Linked DNA regions of Cricetulus griseus. The protein of the gene in region 3 purifies or fractionates together with the protein of the main gene of each other region. This does not show direct contact. Links are inferred from orthologs where the notes say so. Each region holds a gene or a part of one and is shown on either strand. Other genes may lie near its edges.

Region 1 (4,363 bases), on a different chromosome or scaffold from region 3:
GTGATTTTCTTCATTGTCAGATGTATTCTCAAAGGGTAGTATCTTTTATGTTACTGCACAACAGCCACAGAAGTCCATCTCCAGAACTTTACTGTAGACTTTTTCTGTTATTTAGTATGTTTTTGAGATTAGGGAGAGTCTTGCCCTACGGTTTATGTGGGCCTCGATCTCATGACCATTCTCCTGCCTCAAGCCTTTGTAAGTTCTGGGATTGCAGGTGTGTACCACTGTGTCCAGTCTTTGGGAACCAGAATCACTAGAATAGGGCTTGGTTGGACATACACGCTGGGAACACCTGTGGACAATTCCCAGATAGACCAAAAGCTGCATACTATTGATGGTGCCAGTGTAGTATATGTTATTCCCATTTTCATTGTTTGACTATTTTTAAGTTTATAAGTTTATGAGATAAACTTTTGGTGAGTTTTAGGAACTACTGTAATAATGCCTCATTTTGTTAAAGTTGTGTCTATGTGTCTGATTTATTTATTTACAATTCTTTTCTGTAGGAAGATATAAAATCATTAACTGCCCATGTAATTGAAAATTATTGGAAAGCACTAGAAGATGTAGATTATGTGCAGACTTTTAAAGGATTAAAATTGAGATTTGAACAACAAAGAGAAAGGCAAGACAACCCCAAACTTGACAGGTAAGTTACTGCATATTTGAACATGTTCTCCATTCAGCAGTAGATTGTGTGCTGGCTTTCTCGGTTCTTGGCGGTATTTGAGTTGGCTGTAGAGAGAAGATGGGGAAAACATGCTCAGAAATTGTGGGGAGTGGAGGGAATTGCCATTGTCTTTTTCTTCAACATTTATTTTATGCATGTGTGTATCTTCAAATACATGTACTTTGGGATGGGTTTGTCTCAGAACAACTTGCAAGAGTTGGGTCTCTTCTTCCACCGTTTGGGTTCTGAGGTTCAAACTCAGGTTTGTCATACTTGGTAGAACACACCTTTATTCTTTAAGCCATCGTGGCAACCTGTGTGCTAATTTTGCTTGTTTGTTTCTGAAAGTGTAGATGAATTATAGTAAGATCTTTAGATACCAACATAAACTGATATAGTAGTGAGGTTTCACATGATCAGAATATTATCTTAACCAGGTGGTAGTAGCTTTAATCCCAGGCCAGCCTGGTCTACAAAGCAAGTTCCAGGACTGTTACACAGAGAAACTCTGTCTTGAAAAACAAAACAAAAGAATATTATCTTAATTGTTTTTTTAAATGCCATATACCTTCTAGTTATTTAACTAGATTCACACTTGTAGTATTGGTTGTTTTTTTCCCATTAGTTTCTTCTTCTACCTCTTCCTTCTCCAGAAGGGGAGCTTGGGGATTTTCAAGACAGGATTTCTCTGTTTAGCTTTGGAAGCTATCGTGGAACTCAGTCAGTAGACCAGGCTGGCCTCAAACTCACAGAGATCCATCTGTCTCTGCCTCTTGAGTGCTGTGATTAAAAGCATGTACCAATACTGTCCAGCTAATTTTTTAGTATATATGTGGTTTGTCTGCATGTACATGCCTAATAGCCACAAAAGATGAAAAGGTTGTTGGATCCCCTAGGACTGGAGATACAAATGGTTGTGAGCTGCTATTAGATGCTGGGAATTGAACACAGGTCCTAACTACTGTACCATCTCTAGCCTTTGTAGTATGGTTTATAATCTATACAGTAATTACTTAATTCCCATCATTATCAGGCTTAATAATTGAGCTATAACAGTTAGCATTTTAGAAATTTGAAGTTGGATTATACTAGTTTATATTAGATTTGATAGGGTCTGACTTTTAATTAGTAATTGTTCCATTGTGGTTTGGTATTTGGTCTTGGTGGTGACAGGGATCACACCCGGTACCTCATCCCCTTACAGCCTTCCATTTTCTCATAGCATGCGGTCCATCTTGAGGAATCATCGATATCGACGGGATGCCAGAACTCTTGAAGATGAGGAAGAGATGTGGTTCAACACAGATGAAGATGACATGGAAGATGGAGAAGCTGTGGTGTCTCCATCTGACAAAACTAAGAATGATGATGATATCATGGATCCAATAAGTAAATTCATGGAAAGGAAGAAATGTATGTTAAAACAGTGGGCAAGGGAAAGTGAGGCTCTCTCAGTCCAGGTCTTTTATTTCTTGAGAAAATGATTAGTATCTACTCAGAATATACAATGACAGTTCAAAGACCTACAGGACATTGCTGAGTTTCTGACTGTAAAGGTGTAGGCTGAGTTTTCCTAGTTTAAGGAAAATAGTTTGAAGGGCTGGGGGGTATAAATACTAAATGTGATACCAAAGGTCTTTCTTCTGTGCTGTAAAATTTGCTGGATATTAACATTTAGTACTTGGATAGGCTTTGTTAATAGGTTGGACGTCAGAGTTGCAACCTGAGCAAAGAAATAAGCTGGTTGTTTTTTAGTGTCACTTCTTTTAGAGGAATTCAGAAAAAAAATGAGTGACAACTATTTTTACACTCTCATTTTAGTGAAAGAAAGTGAAGAAAAGGAGGTGCTTCTGAAAACTAACCTTTCTGGACGACAGAGCCCAAGTTTCAAACTCTCCCTGTCCAGTGGGACAAAGACTAACCTCAGCAGCCAGTCGTCGGCAGCAAGCCTGCCTGGCTCTCCAGGGTCACCTGGGTCCCCGGGCTCTCCAGGCTCTCCTGGATCCGTCCCTAAGAGTACATCTCAGACGGCAGCTATTACCACAAAGGTACACCTCTCTCTCCCCACATGGTGGTCCTTCTCTGCTGTGCTTTAAGCTTTCTCAGTGGTCAGTGTGCCTAGATTTTATTTCTTTGATTCTCTTTTCTGGAACTAGCTAAAAACTGTTCACTACCTGAAGTCACCTCACGTGTCCTGTACAAAATTTAGTCTGGCTGGGCGCTGGTAGCACAGGCCTTTAATCCCAACACTCGGGAGGCAGAGGCAGGCGGATCTTTGTGAGTTTAAGGCCAGCCTGGTCTACAGAGCAAGTTCCAGGACAGGCTCCAAAACAATACAGAGAAACCCTGTCTCAGCCCCACTCCACCCCACCCCACCCCACCCCCCAAAAAAGGGGGCATTTGTTTTGATGGCTTTTGCTACTTCAGCATGCTCCGCCCACCCCCACCCCCAAAAAAAGAACATAAAACTAATAATAGCAATTAGACCAGACTAATTATACTGGTATAATGCCAGTATAATTCATAGTGCTGTCCAGTCTATTCTTTAGTTCTTTCTTTAAAATGTTTTTGTGTGTGGACACACCACAGCATGTGAAAGTCAGAGGGCAACTTGAAGGAGTCTGCTCTCTCCTTCCACCATGTGGGACCCAGGAATCAAGCTTAGGTCATAGGGCTTGATAGAAAGACCCCTTACCTGCTGTGCCATGTCACTGGCCCCACGGTCTCATTTCATCTGACACTGGCAGGAGATCCCTCAGTGCTAAGGCTGAGTCAGACATGTTGGGAAGAAGGCACGGGCTGGTAGCAGAGTACTATGAATTTTCATAGCTATTCGAGTTGTACTATAGTTTATGGTGGGGAAGCAGACTAAAAGGGAAACCCAGAAGAGAAATAATAGAACTACTTTCTTATCTGCTTTCATTTTGAGTAATCTGTGTTTTGATACCATTTTTTACTTTATTTTGAAATAAGTTTGAGCCAGACATTGTAGTACAGGCTGATAATCCTAGCTTAGCTACTTTGGAGAAGGAAGATTGCTAGCTGAAGGCCTGCCTGAGCAACTTAAGTGAACTCTGGCTCAAAAGGTAAAAATGAAGTCTGGGTATGTTGCAGTAGTAGAGCCCTTGGCTTGAGACATACGAAGCCCTGACTTCAATCTCCAGCCCCATTTAAAAAATGAATTTTATACACTGTTAGTTATAGCCATTTCTCAGTGGTGTTTCTGTTCCTGGGTGATTTTCTAGTAGAGTATAATTTTTTTGTTTCTGTTTTAGTTTTTAGTAGCTTGAAAGAACCTTACAAAGTTCAGGTGGTGGTAGCAGCACATGCCTTTAATCCCAGTACTTAGGAAGCAGAGGCAGGGAGTTCCAGGACAGACGCCAAAGCTACAGAGAAACACTGTCTTTAAAAAAAAGAATCTTATAGAAACATGAACATTTAAAATACCTATAAAAAATAATTAATGGCTTTCAGCGTGCTGCCATTAGGCCTATACTTATTCTGGGTTTAACATGGGTATTTTCAAATTCAGTGTTTTGTTCTTTAAATAATCCTTATTTCTGCACAGGGAGGACTCGTGGGTCTGGTAGATTATCCCGATGATGATGAAGATGATGATGAGGATGAAGACAAGGAAGACTCGCTACCACTGTCAAAGAAAGCAAAATTTGAGTCCTAATAATAGCAACT
Region 2 (4,363 bases), on a different chromosome or scaffold from region 3:
AAAGATGCTGGGCAAATGGGTTATAGCAGTGTGGACATGGAGGAAACCTGGAGGTGGTGAGTTAACGTTGATGCTTGGGCAGCAGAGTATGTGCGGATCTGTTTGTGGCTGGTACAGGAATAGTGTTGAGGGATAGCTGTACACTGTGTGAAGGTGTATTTGCTGATTGGTGTAATAAAAAGCTGAATGGCCAATAGCTGGGCAGGAGGGGCAGGATTCCCAGGGAGAGAAAGGAAGAGGAGGTGAATCTAGGCCTGAGAGAAACACGGAACAAGTGGGACATACAGAAGGGGAAAGAAAAGTTAATATAAATAGGCTAATTTAAGTTACGAGAGCTAGTGGAGTAAGTTTAAGATAAGACCAAGCTTTCATAATTAATAATAAGTCTCTGTGAAGTTATTTGTGAGCTGATGGCCCAGAGAAAAATCCATCTACAGAACAGGGATTAAAAACCAGGGGGTGAGCTGGGCGTTGGTGGCGTACGCCTTTAATCCCAGCACTCAGGAGGCAGAGGCAGGAGGATCTCTTTGAGTTCCAGACCAGCCTGGTCTACAAGAGCTAGTTCCAGGACAGCCTCCAAAGCCACAGAGAAACTCTGTTTGAAAAAACCGGGGGAAAAAAAACAAAAACAAAAAACCAGGGAGTGAGCTGGATGGTGGTGGCATGCACCTTTATCTCAGCACTCAGAGAGGCAGGCGGAGCTGTCAATTTCAGGACAGCCCAGTCCACAGAGTTAAGTTCCAGGACAGCCAGAGCTACACAGAGAAATGCTGTCTCAGGGAGAAGGAAGGAGGGAGGGAGGGAAGGGAAGGGAAGGGAAGGAAGAAACCAGGGGGTGTTCAGAGGAGAGCAAGGCCAGGGTCCAGTGCTGGAGGGCAATGTGCTGGTCTAGGCTTGGGACGCATTGAGTGGAAGGGCCTGGAGCAGTGACAGTCACAGGCAGAAAGGGAGAGCTGGAGCCAGCATGGCTCTGGGGACAGCACTGTGGTCACAGTGGACACAGGACAGAGACTGTTGGTCTGGTGTACCCAGAGGGTATCTAGGGAGGTGACCCAGAGACTGCTGCACGTGGCACGGACTCTGTATGTGGAGAAAGTGGAGAGGTAGCGGCATGTGGGCATCAGCAGCAGATAAGGGAGGGAGCTGTGGTAATGAAGGGTAAATGGCCCACTGACAGAGGTGTGGGAGGAAGGAGAATCATGGCCCTGACAGAGCGCTAACTCCATCTAAAGCTGCCTTTAAGAGGTGAGTGGAAGCCAGGTGTGCTGGTTACACCTGTAACCCACTGCTGGGAAACAAACAGGAACACTGCCACAAGTTCAAGACTAGCCCAGGCCACAGTGAGTTCCAAGGCAGTCTGCCTTACCAGAGGTAGCATTTGACCTTGGGTTAGTGGTAGAGGAAGTGCAAGGGAAGCACCAGAGACCATCGATGGGTAAGTATTCACTACCTCAAACAGATCCAGAGGGAGGGACTCTTCAGGAAGCACAGAGTGGGGCTGATGACCAATCACAAGGTACAGCCGCTTAATGACCCTCAGAGCAAGGGATCCAGTGAAGGGATTGGCTCCCAGGGGCTGGTTGGGTGTCTGGGACATGGCTGTGCTGTCACTTGAGTTAGGACAGTAACCTAAGGCCTGGCCAGGTAGGGACTGTGAGCTCTCTTTCTCTCTCTCTCTCTCTCTCTCTCTCTCTCTCTCTCTCTCTCTCTCTGTGTGTGTGTGTGTGTGTGTGTGTGTGTGTGTGTCTGAGAGAGAGAGAGAGAGAGAGAGAGAGGGAGAGAGAGGGAGAGAGAGGGAGAGAGAGAGAGGTGTGTGTGTGAGTGAGACATCAAGGTTTCTGGATTTGTGGAGAGTAGAACGCTGGTGCCCCAACTCTGCTTGACCCTACAGGGTCAAGATGGACGGCGGAGTGCAGCAGGCAGTGAAAAGGATGAGGAGCCTGAGGAGGAGGAGGAGGAGGAGGAAGAGGAGGAATACGATGAGGAGGAAGAGGAGGAAGACGATGACCGGCCCCCAAAGAAACCACGCCATGGGGGCTTCATTTTGGATGAGGCTGGTATGTCATAGGGCCTGGAAGCATTGAGCAAGCTTGAAGTACACGAGACATGAGACTGTGTGTGGCTCCAGTGTTGTGTATGTGTATATACATGCATATGAGGTAGTGGGGTTGACTCTTCCAGAGCCACATCCCCAGAACCTCACTGGTGGATTCTAGGCAAGTGTTACAGCCTCTGAGCCATATTCTCAGCCCTCTTTATTTTTATTCTGAGACAGAGTCTTGCTAAGTTGCTCAGGCTGGCCTTGAACTGACAGTGTAGCCTAAGTTGACCTTGAACTTGCAGTTTTCTGCTTAGCCTCTCATGTAGTCGGGGTGCCTGGCCTGTACTATGGGGCCTGACTCAGAATGCTGTGGTTACAGGGTGTGCCACCATGCCAGCTCTGGTTGTATTTGTTTAGAAGGGATATGTGTGGTTGGGGTAGAGTGGAGGAGGAGATGGCCTTTAGAGATAGGTGGGTCCACATGACACCGCCTCCACTGTACCAGTCTGTGGCATGACCTTGTATAAAGAATTCTTGCTAGCGGAGCTGCTGTTCTGAGGTCACCTTTCATCCCTGCTGACCACCTGGCTTTCCCATTTCAGATGTAGACGATGAGTATGAGGACGAGGACCAGTGGGAAGATGGAGCTGAAGACATCCTGGAGAAAGGTGTGTGTGGGACCTGCCTGCGAGATCACGTGGGGTGTGGCTGTGCCTGGGAGGGTGTCTTCTAAGCCCTTCCCCATACCCCATGCCCTGCAACCACCCCAACTCTCACTCTCTTCACCTTGCTTCTTTCTGTCCTTGCCAGAGAGACGGCTCCCCCAATCCTTTTCCTTTTAGGCCCATGAGTGGGGGGCGGGGACTGTTGGGTGGGTGGTGGTACAGAGAGAGTATTCTGGGTATCCCTTTTGTGGGGTGTAGGGTGGGTGGGCTCGGTCCCACAATACCCCCCACTTGCTGGGCCAGTGCCCCCTTCCCTGTTAGTTTCCGTTCTGTGCGCCTCATACATTTCGGCTTCTCCTCACCCACCTGATGCCTGGCCTTTACTTTTGGTTTTTGACCTTCCTGTGTCCCTCCCTTTGCCCCACCCCATTGGTTGATTTTGCTGCTATAATTTGGCTCATACTTTGTCTACCCTGCATACCACCACCACCACCACCACCACCACCACCACCACCTTCTCCTCTTCCTCCAAGTAGAAGAGATTGAAGGTAAGAACTGGGCAAGTGTGGTCTGTGGCTCTCCTCCCATCTCCTTTGTGGCCCTGGGGCTGTGACTCACCTGGGTGCAGGGCTAGGCAGTCTTGGGTGTCCGACCTAGGGAGCTTAGACATTCCTGTGCCCATAGGTCTAGATGTAGTGCAGGCAGGAGTCTGAAGCAGGGGAGCGCAGGGTGACTGTGAGATGAAGAACTGATGAATGTCCCCTCCCCCCAGCAACTGGACCTATCCCTGAGCACATATGCTGAGAAGCAGGGAGTTGAGGAGGACAGAGGGTGGGGGAAGAGGGTGGGGGTTACTCAGCCCGGTATCTCCTGCCCCAGGGCCAGTTCTGGCCCCAAAATCCCCAAGCCCATTTCTAGCCTGACGCTCCCTGCACCTCTGTTTCCAGCCTCCAATATTGATAACGTTGTTCTGGATGAAGACCGTTCTGGGGCTCGCCGCCTGCAAAATCTCTGGAGGTAAGCAAGTGAGGAGACCTGGGTGGAACCCAGCTTCCTTGGACAGACGTGGGGCAGGTCAGCCTGCCCTCCGGTCCTCCACTTTTCTCCATGTCTGTTTTCCCCCCCTCGTACCCAAGGGACCAGAGAGAAGAAGAGCTGGGCGAGTATTATATGAAGAAATACGCTAAGTCATCTGTGGGAGAGACGTAAGTGCCTGGTGGGCAGGCGCGGGCGGTCCTGGGTGGTAAGCAGGTGTGATCTGTTAGAGCACCATCCCCTTCTTTCCCAACACTGTCCTCTCTAGGGTGTATGGGGGGTCTGGTGGAGCACCATCCCCTTCTTTCTCAACCCTGCTCTCTCTAGGGTGTATGGAGGGTCTGATGAGCTCTCGGACGACATCACCCAGCAGCAGCTGCTCCCCGGAGTCAAGTAAGAGAGTGGGAGAAGGGTAGAAGGCCGAAGGTGGGGTGCAGACATGCAGGAGGGTGGGGGAAGTAAGACCCCCTGTGTGTAATTGATGAGAGCTGGGCCCTGGGCTGAAGCAGGGCAAATGGTGTGGATTGTGTATTACTGAGGAGACAGTTTTGGTAACTTTGTCCTGCTAATCCTGTGCTCTGTAGGGACCCCAACCTGTGGACGGTCAAGTGTAAGGTGAGTG
Region 3 (4,363 bases):
CTTTTTAGCCCATGCTGGCTTGGAACTCAGGATCTTTCAGCTTCTACCTCCTGAGGGCTGTGTTCATGAGAATGTACCACAATGCTGGAAGTTGAACTCAGGGCCTAAATATTCTACCTTAGTTGTTATTCAAATATTTTTAACATTGTGTGTTTATGTGTGAATGTGAGTGTGTGTGTGAATGTCTGGGTGCACATCTGCATAGCAGGTATGTGGGGGTTCAGAGGGCAGTTTACAGGAGTTGGTTCTCTCCTTCTACCATGCAGATTCTGGGTATTAAACTCAGGTTGTGAGGCTTTATGGCAAGTACCTTTACCTTCTCACTTCATATATATATATATATATCATATATATATATATATATATATTTTAAATTAGGATGTAGCTTTATGTTCTAGGCTGGTCTCACCAAACTTTAGCTTCACTCTTCTAAATAATGGGATTTCTTGTGTGGGGTACCACACTTGGTTTCTGTGAGAGTTCATTCTGAGTCTGCAGGAGACTAGCAGCAATATTAGTTAGTAAAGCCATAGAACTCTTAATTTTTTCCTTTTATATTTTTGAGACAGTGTTTTTCTGTGCATCCTTGGCTGTCCTGGAACTTGTTCTGTAGACTAGGCTGCCTTCGAACTCAAGAGATCCGCCTGCTTCTGCCTCCGGAGTGCTGTGCAGTGGTCAGGCTTTAATTACTATTTCCAAACTCTCTGTTGTTTTTCGCTTTGAGACAGGGTCTTACTATGTAGCCCAGACTGGCATTACTCTTGGACTAATCTTTCTGCTTCAGGCTTTTCAATACTGGAATGAAAATAGGGATGAAAAAGCTTAAAACGGTTAAAATGATCCCTTCCACTTCTCTCCTTCCCTCCATCCCTCCCATAGCCTAGCTTTGCCTTAACTTGCTGTATAGCTGTAGGTGACCTTGAACTTCTGATCATCCTCCTTATATTTCCTAAGTGCTTTGATTCCAGGGTGTATCACCATGCCCAGGGAAATGATCTTGAATATATTGTGAAAGAGGGTTTAAGAAAAATAAATTTATTTTCTTCAGGTGTTTCTTTCTTGTAAAAATTCATTTTAAAATAGTATAAGCCCCATGTGAAGGTACACTCAGTTGGTTTATAAAGCACTTCAAAATAATACAGGTTTACTATATTGAGTCAGTCCATTATCTGCAGCTGTCTTAGTCAGTGTCCTATTACTGTGAAGAGACACCATGACCATTGACAACTCTTATAAAGGAAAGCATCTAATTGGGGCTGGCTTACAGTTTCAGAGATTTAGTCCATTGTCATGGCAGGGAGTGTAGTGGCATGCAGGCAGACGTGGTACTAGAGAGATAACTGAGAGTTCTGCATCTGGAATGGCAGGCAGCAGGAAGAGAGAGACACTGGGCCTGGCTTGACCTTCTGAAACCTCAAAGCCCATCCCCAGTGACACACTTCCTCCAACAAGGTCACTTCTATTGCAACAAGGCCATGTGTCCATATCCTTTCAAATAATGCCGCTCCCTATGAGCCTATGGGGACCAGTTTTATTCAAACCACTACAGCTGCCAATCACTTTAGTTGATTACAGTCAACTACTGTTAATCCCCAGATGATTTTATATCCCATATGGTTTTTTTGGTCTGAATTTTGACTTTCTTTCCCAATACAGTTTGACTATCTTTCATGTTGATCATAAGGAAGGCTGGGAAAACTGGATTATAAGGTGCCTTGTTTTTGTGTGTATCCTTCTGACCTGTGTGTTTAAAACTAAAATTCTTGAAAAATTTTAATGTCAAATTTTAGACGGTAGAGTTTTAGACCAATAAACCAGTGTATTATTTTAGAATTTTTGTCTAGTGCTGTAAGTTAGAGCCTAAACAACTTAAATTAATAAGCTATTAGTTAAAGGAGTATTTTGAATTTTTAGAATGTATAAATGTGTAGTGTAACTAAGTAATTAACTGAACTGTTTGGAAAGCAGGTTGTCATTTAAAACAGAATGTGGCATTTGGAGTGGTTCAGTTTAACCCAAGCTGCTTTCTCTTCTAGGTGTTCACTGCACCCATGGCTTCAACCGGACTGGTTTCCTCATATGTGCCTTTTTGGTGGAGAAAATGGATTGGAGGTATATAGATTTATTATAGTGGAAGAAGATGTATGTGACAATTCATGGTGCTTATGAAGCCTATAAAATGGTGTACTTACTTTTCCATGTTGTTCTTGTATTTTAGAATTAGCACAGGTTGGGTCTTCCAATGTTTGTGTTTGTATTCAGCTTTGGAGATGTCTGTTGTTTTCCTTTTTAAATTTATCTTTTATAGCTGTTAATTACTAGTAAAAACATACAATGCTATATGAAGGAAGCATTTTAGGATGGCATTACCCCATTTAAATAAATCTTATCTTTATTGAACATGTTACTTGTAAAGTATATTTTTAGATTTTGAGGGATTAGAACCTAGTAATCTGGAATTCTTATGAGGATAGGATATTGCTGACTGAATTTTCTTATTACTGCTCTAGGTTCATAGTTTATATTTCTAAAACCTTATACCCAGTTGGTCCTTTTTTTTTGTAATACAGTAAGGCAAAATATGGATCTGACTGTTTTCTATTCGTTTACACTCAGTGGTTTTCTACTTTGTGTATTTTTCAGCTTTGGCCATTCAGAATACTATATACAATAACATCAGACTCATATGCCAGACTCAGCCAATGCTTCCCTCCCTCTCAAGATGTGTAATCTTGGTGACTGGGTCTGGGTCCATTGGCAGTTTCTTAAAAATCAATGTGTTTGTTTACTTTGCTGTTCACTTTTTCTTGACTGCTCTTTTATCTATGAGACCTTGACCTTCAATGTTTTATTAAGATTTCTTTTCATTGGCTATCCATGTCTGTCATAAACACAGCAATGTACTTTAGACATTTATAATATACTATATATTAGAAAATACTAAATATTATAGTGGACTATATGTTGCAGTATACCATGTGCATGTGTTTTTAGAATCAGTTTGTCATTGAGTGAAAACTTTCCTGATAAAGAAAGATTTTAGTTTGTCTATTTTATATGCCTGTTATACTTTTTGTGGTATGTTGGGTATGAGTTGTTGATAAGTCCACATAAATGGACACTAGTGAGAAAATTGCATTGATTGTTTTCCATAGCATTGAAGCAGCAGTTGCTACATTTGCCCAAGCCAGACCACCAGGAATCTATAAGGGTGATTATTTGAAGGAACTTTTTCGTCGCTATGGTGATATAGAAGAAGCACCACCACCACCTGTATTGCCCGATTGGTGTTTTGAGGATGATGATGAAGATGATGAGGATGAAGATGGGAAAAAGGACTCAGAACCGGGGTCAAGTGCTTCCTTTGGTAAAAGGAGAAAAGAACGGTTAAAACTGGTAATGTTCACAAATACTGAATATTCTTTTAAAAGTGTAATTTAATTTTAATTACATTCATTTATTTTGTATATATGCATGCTTGAATGTATGTGCCTTTGTATGGGAATGGCACAATATGCCTTTGGAGGTCAGAAGGGAACTTGTGGGAGTCAGTGTTTTTTTCATACTATGTGTGGGTCCTGGGGTCAAAGTCAGGTTGCCAGGATAACTGCAGGAGCCCTTACCTGCTGAGCCATCCTGATGTCCCCAAATACCATACCATAGTACTCTGTTTTTGTTTAAACTTAGTGTGGGATGTTCTCTCTCTCTCTCTCTCTCTCTCTCTCTCTCTCTCTCTCTCTCTCTCTGTCTGTCTGTCTCTCTTTCTGTATATCGAAGAGCATAATAGTGGTCTCTGATTTTATGAAATTAATTTTGGTTCTATGTGAAACCCATTAAGTAAGTTCTGACATCATGAACCAGATGGAGACCTCAAGTCCAGGCTCATCTCAACTCCCAATCCTCCTGTCAGAGTGTTGAGTAATATTCTTAATGCTGAGATAGATTATAGGCATTCCCCACCATGTCTCACTTTTAAAGATTAGCCAGCCAATTGGTCTTTAAAGTTTTGTCTTACAAAATTATTTATTCGTTGGATAGAGGGACTTGCCTGTTGTGGTGAGAATGTGAGGTCAAGAGCCACTTGTGGGACTTATTCTTCTTCATCCATCTTGTGCTTTCTGGGATCAAACTCAGATTGTCAGCCTTGGAAACAAGTGCCTTTACCTGCTGAGCCATTTTGCAGCCTAGCAGTCTTTCTTTTTCTTCAGAGAAAAGCTGAAGTTAAGAAATTTCATCCTTGTTTTGTTTCTTATGTAAACCAAAGAACTCCTAGATGTTAGATTGGCATTAGCTAATAAACTACTAACTGCATTTAGTATTAACAATAGACTTAGTATATTACCTAATAACCATTGAGAATGTT

Evidence for each region.
Region 1: the proteins of Rngtt (region 3) and Ppp4r3a purify together in Homo sapiens (affinity purification with mass spectrometry; 3 studies listed by BioGRID and IntAct, with this or other methods). This does not show direct contact. The link is inferred for Cricetulus griseus from reciprocal best matches to the Homo sapiens genes RNGTT and PPP4R3A.
Region 2: the proteins of Rngtt (region 3) and Supt5h purify together in Homo sapiens (affinity purification with mass spectrometry; 3 studies listed by BioGRID and IntAct, with this or other methods). This does not show direct contact. The link is inferred for Cricetulus griseus from reciprocal best matches to the Homo sapiens genes RNGTT and SUPT5H.

Annotation. Positions count from the first base shown.
Region 1 is NC_048598.1:104,710,991-104,715,353, forward strand, and holds part of Ppp4r3a (serine/threonine-protein phosphatase 4 regulatory subunit 3A), read left to right. Parts: intron 1-509; coding exon 510-652; intron 653-1,895; coding exon 1,896-2,086; intron 2,087-2,494; coding exon 2,495-2,721; intron 2,722-4,241; coding exon 4,242-4,352; 3' UTR 4,353-4,363. UniProt on the Homo sapiens protein: Regulatory subunit of serine/threonine-protein phosphatase 4. May regulate the activity of PPP4C at centrosomal microtubule organizing centers.
Region 2 is NC_048602.1:7,548,527-7,552,889, forward strand, and holds part of Supt5h (transcription elongation factor SPT5), read left to right. Parts: intron 1-1,891; coding exon 1,892-2,057; intron 2,058-2,643; coding exon 2,644-2,709; intron 2,710-3,242; coding exon 3,243-3,254; intron 3,255-3,653; coding exon 3,654-3,723; intron 3,724-3,842; coding exon 3,843-3,911; intron 3,912-4,068; coding exon 4,069-4,134; intron 4,135-4,325; coding exon 4,326-4,356; intron 4,357-4,363. UniProt on the Homo sapiens protein: Component of the DRB sensitivity-inducing factor complex (DSIF complex), which regulates mRNA processing and transcription elongation by RNA polymerase II.
Region 3 is NC_048595.1:108,705,061-108,709,423, reverse strand, and holds part of Rngtt (mRNA-capping enzyme), read left to right. Parts: intron 1-2,036; coding exon 2,037-2,112; intron 2,113-3,155; coding exon 3,156-3,396; intron 3,397-4,363.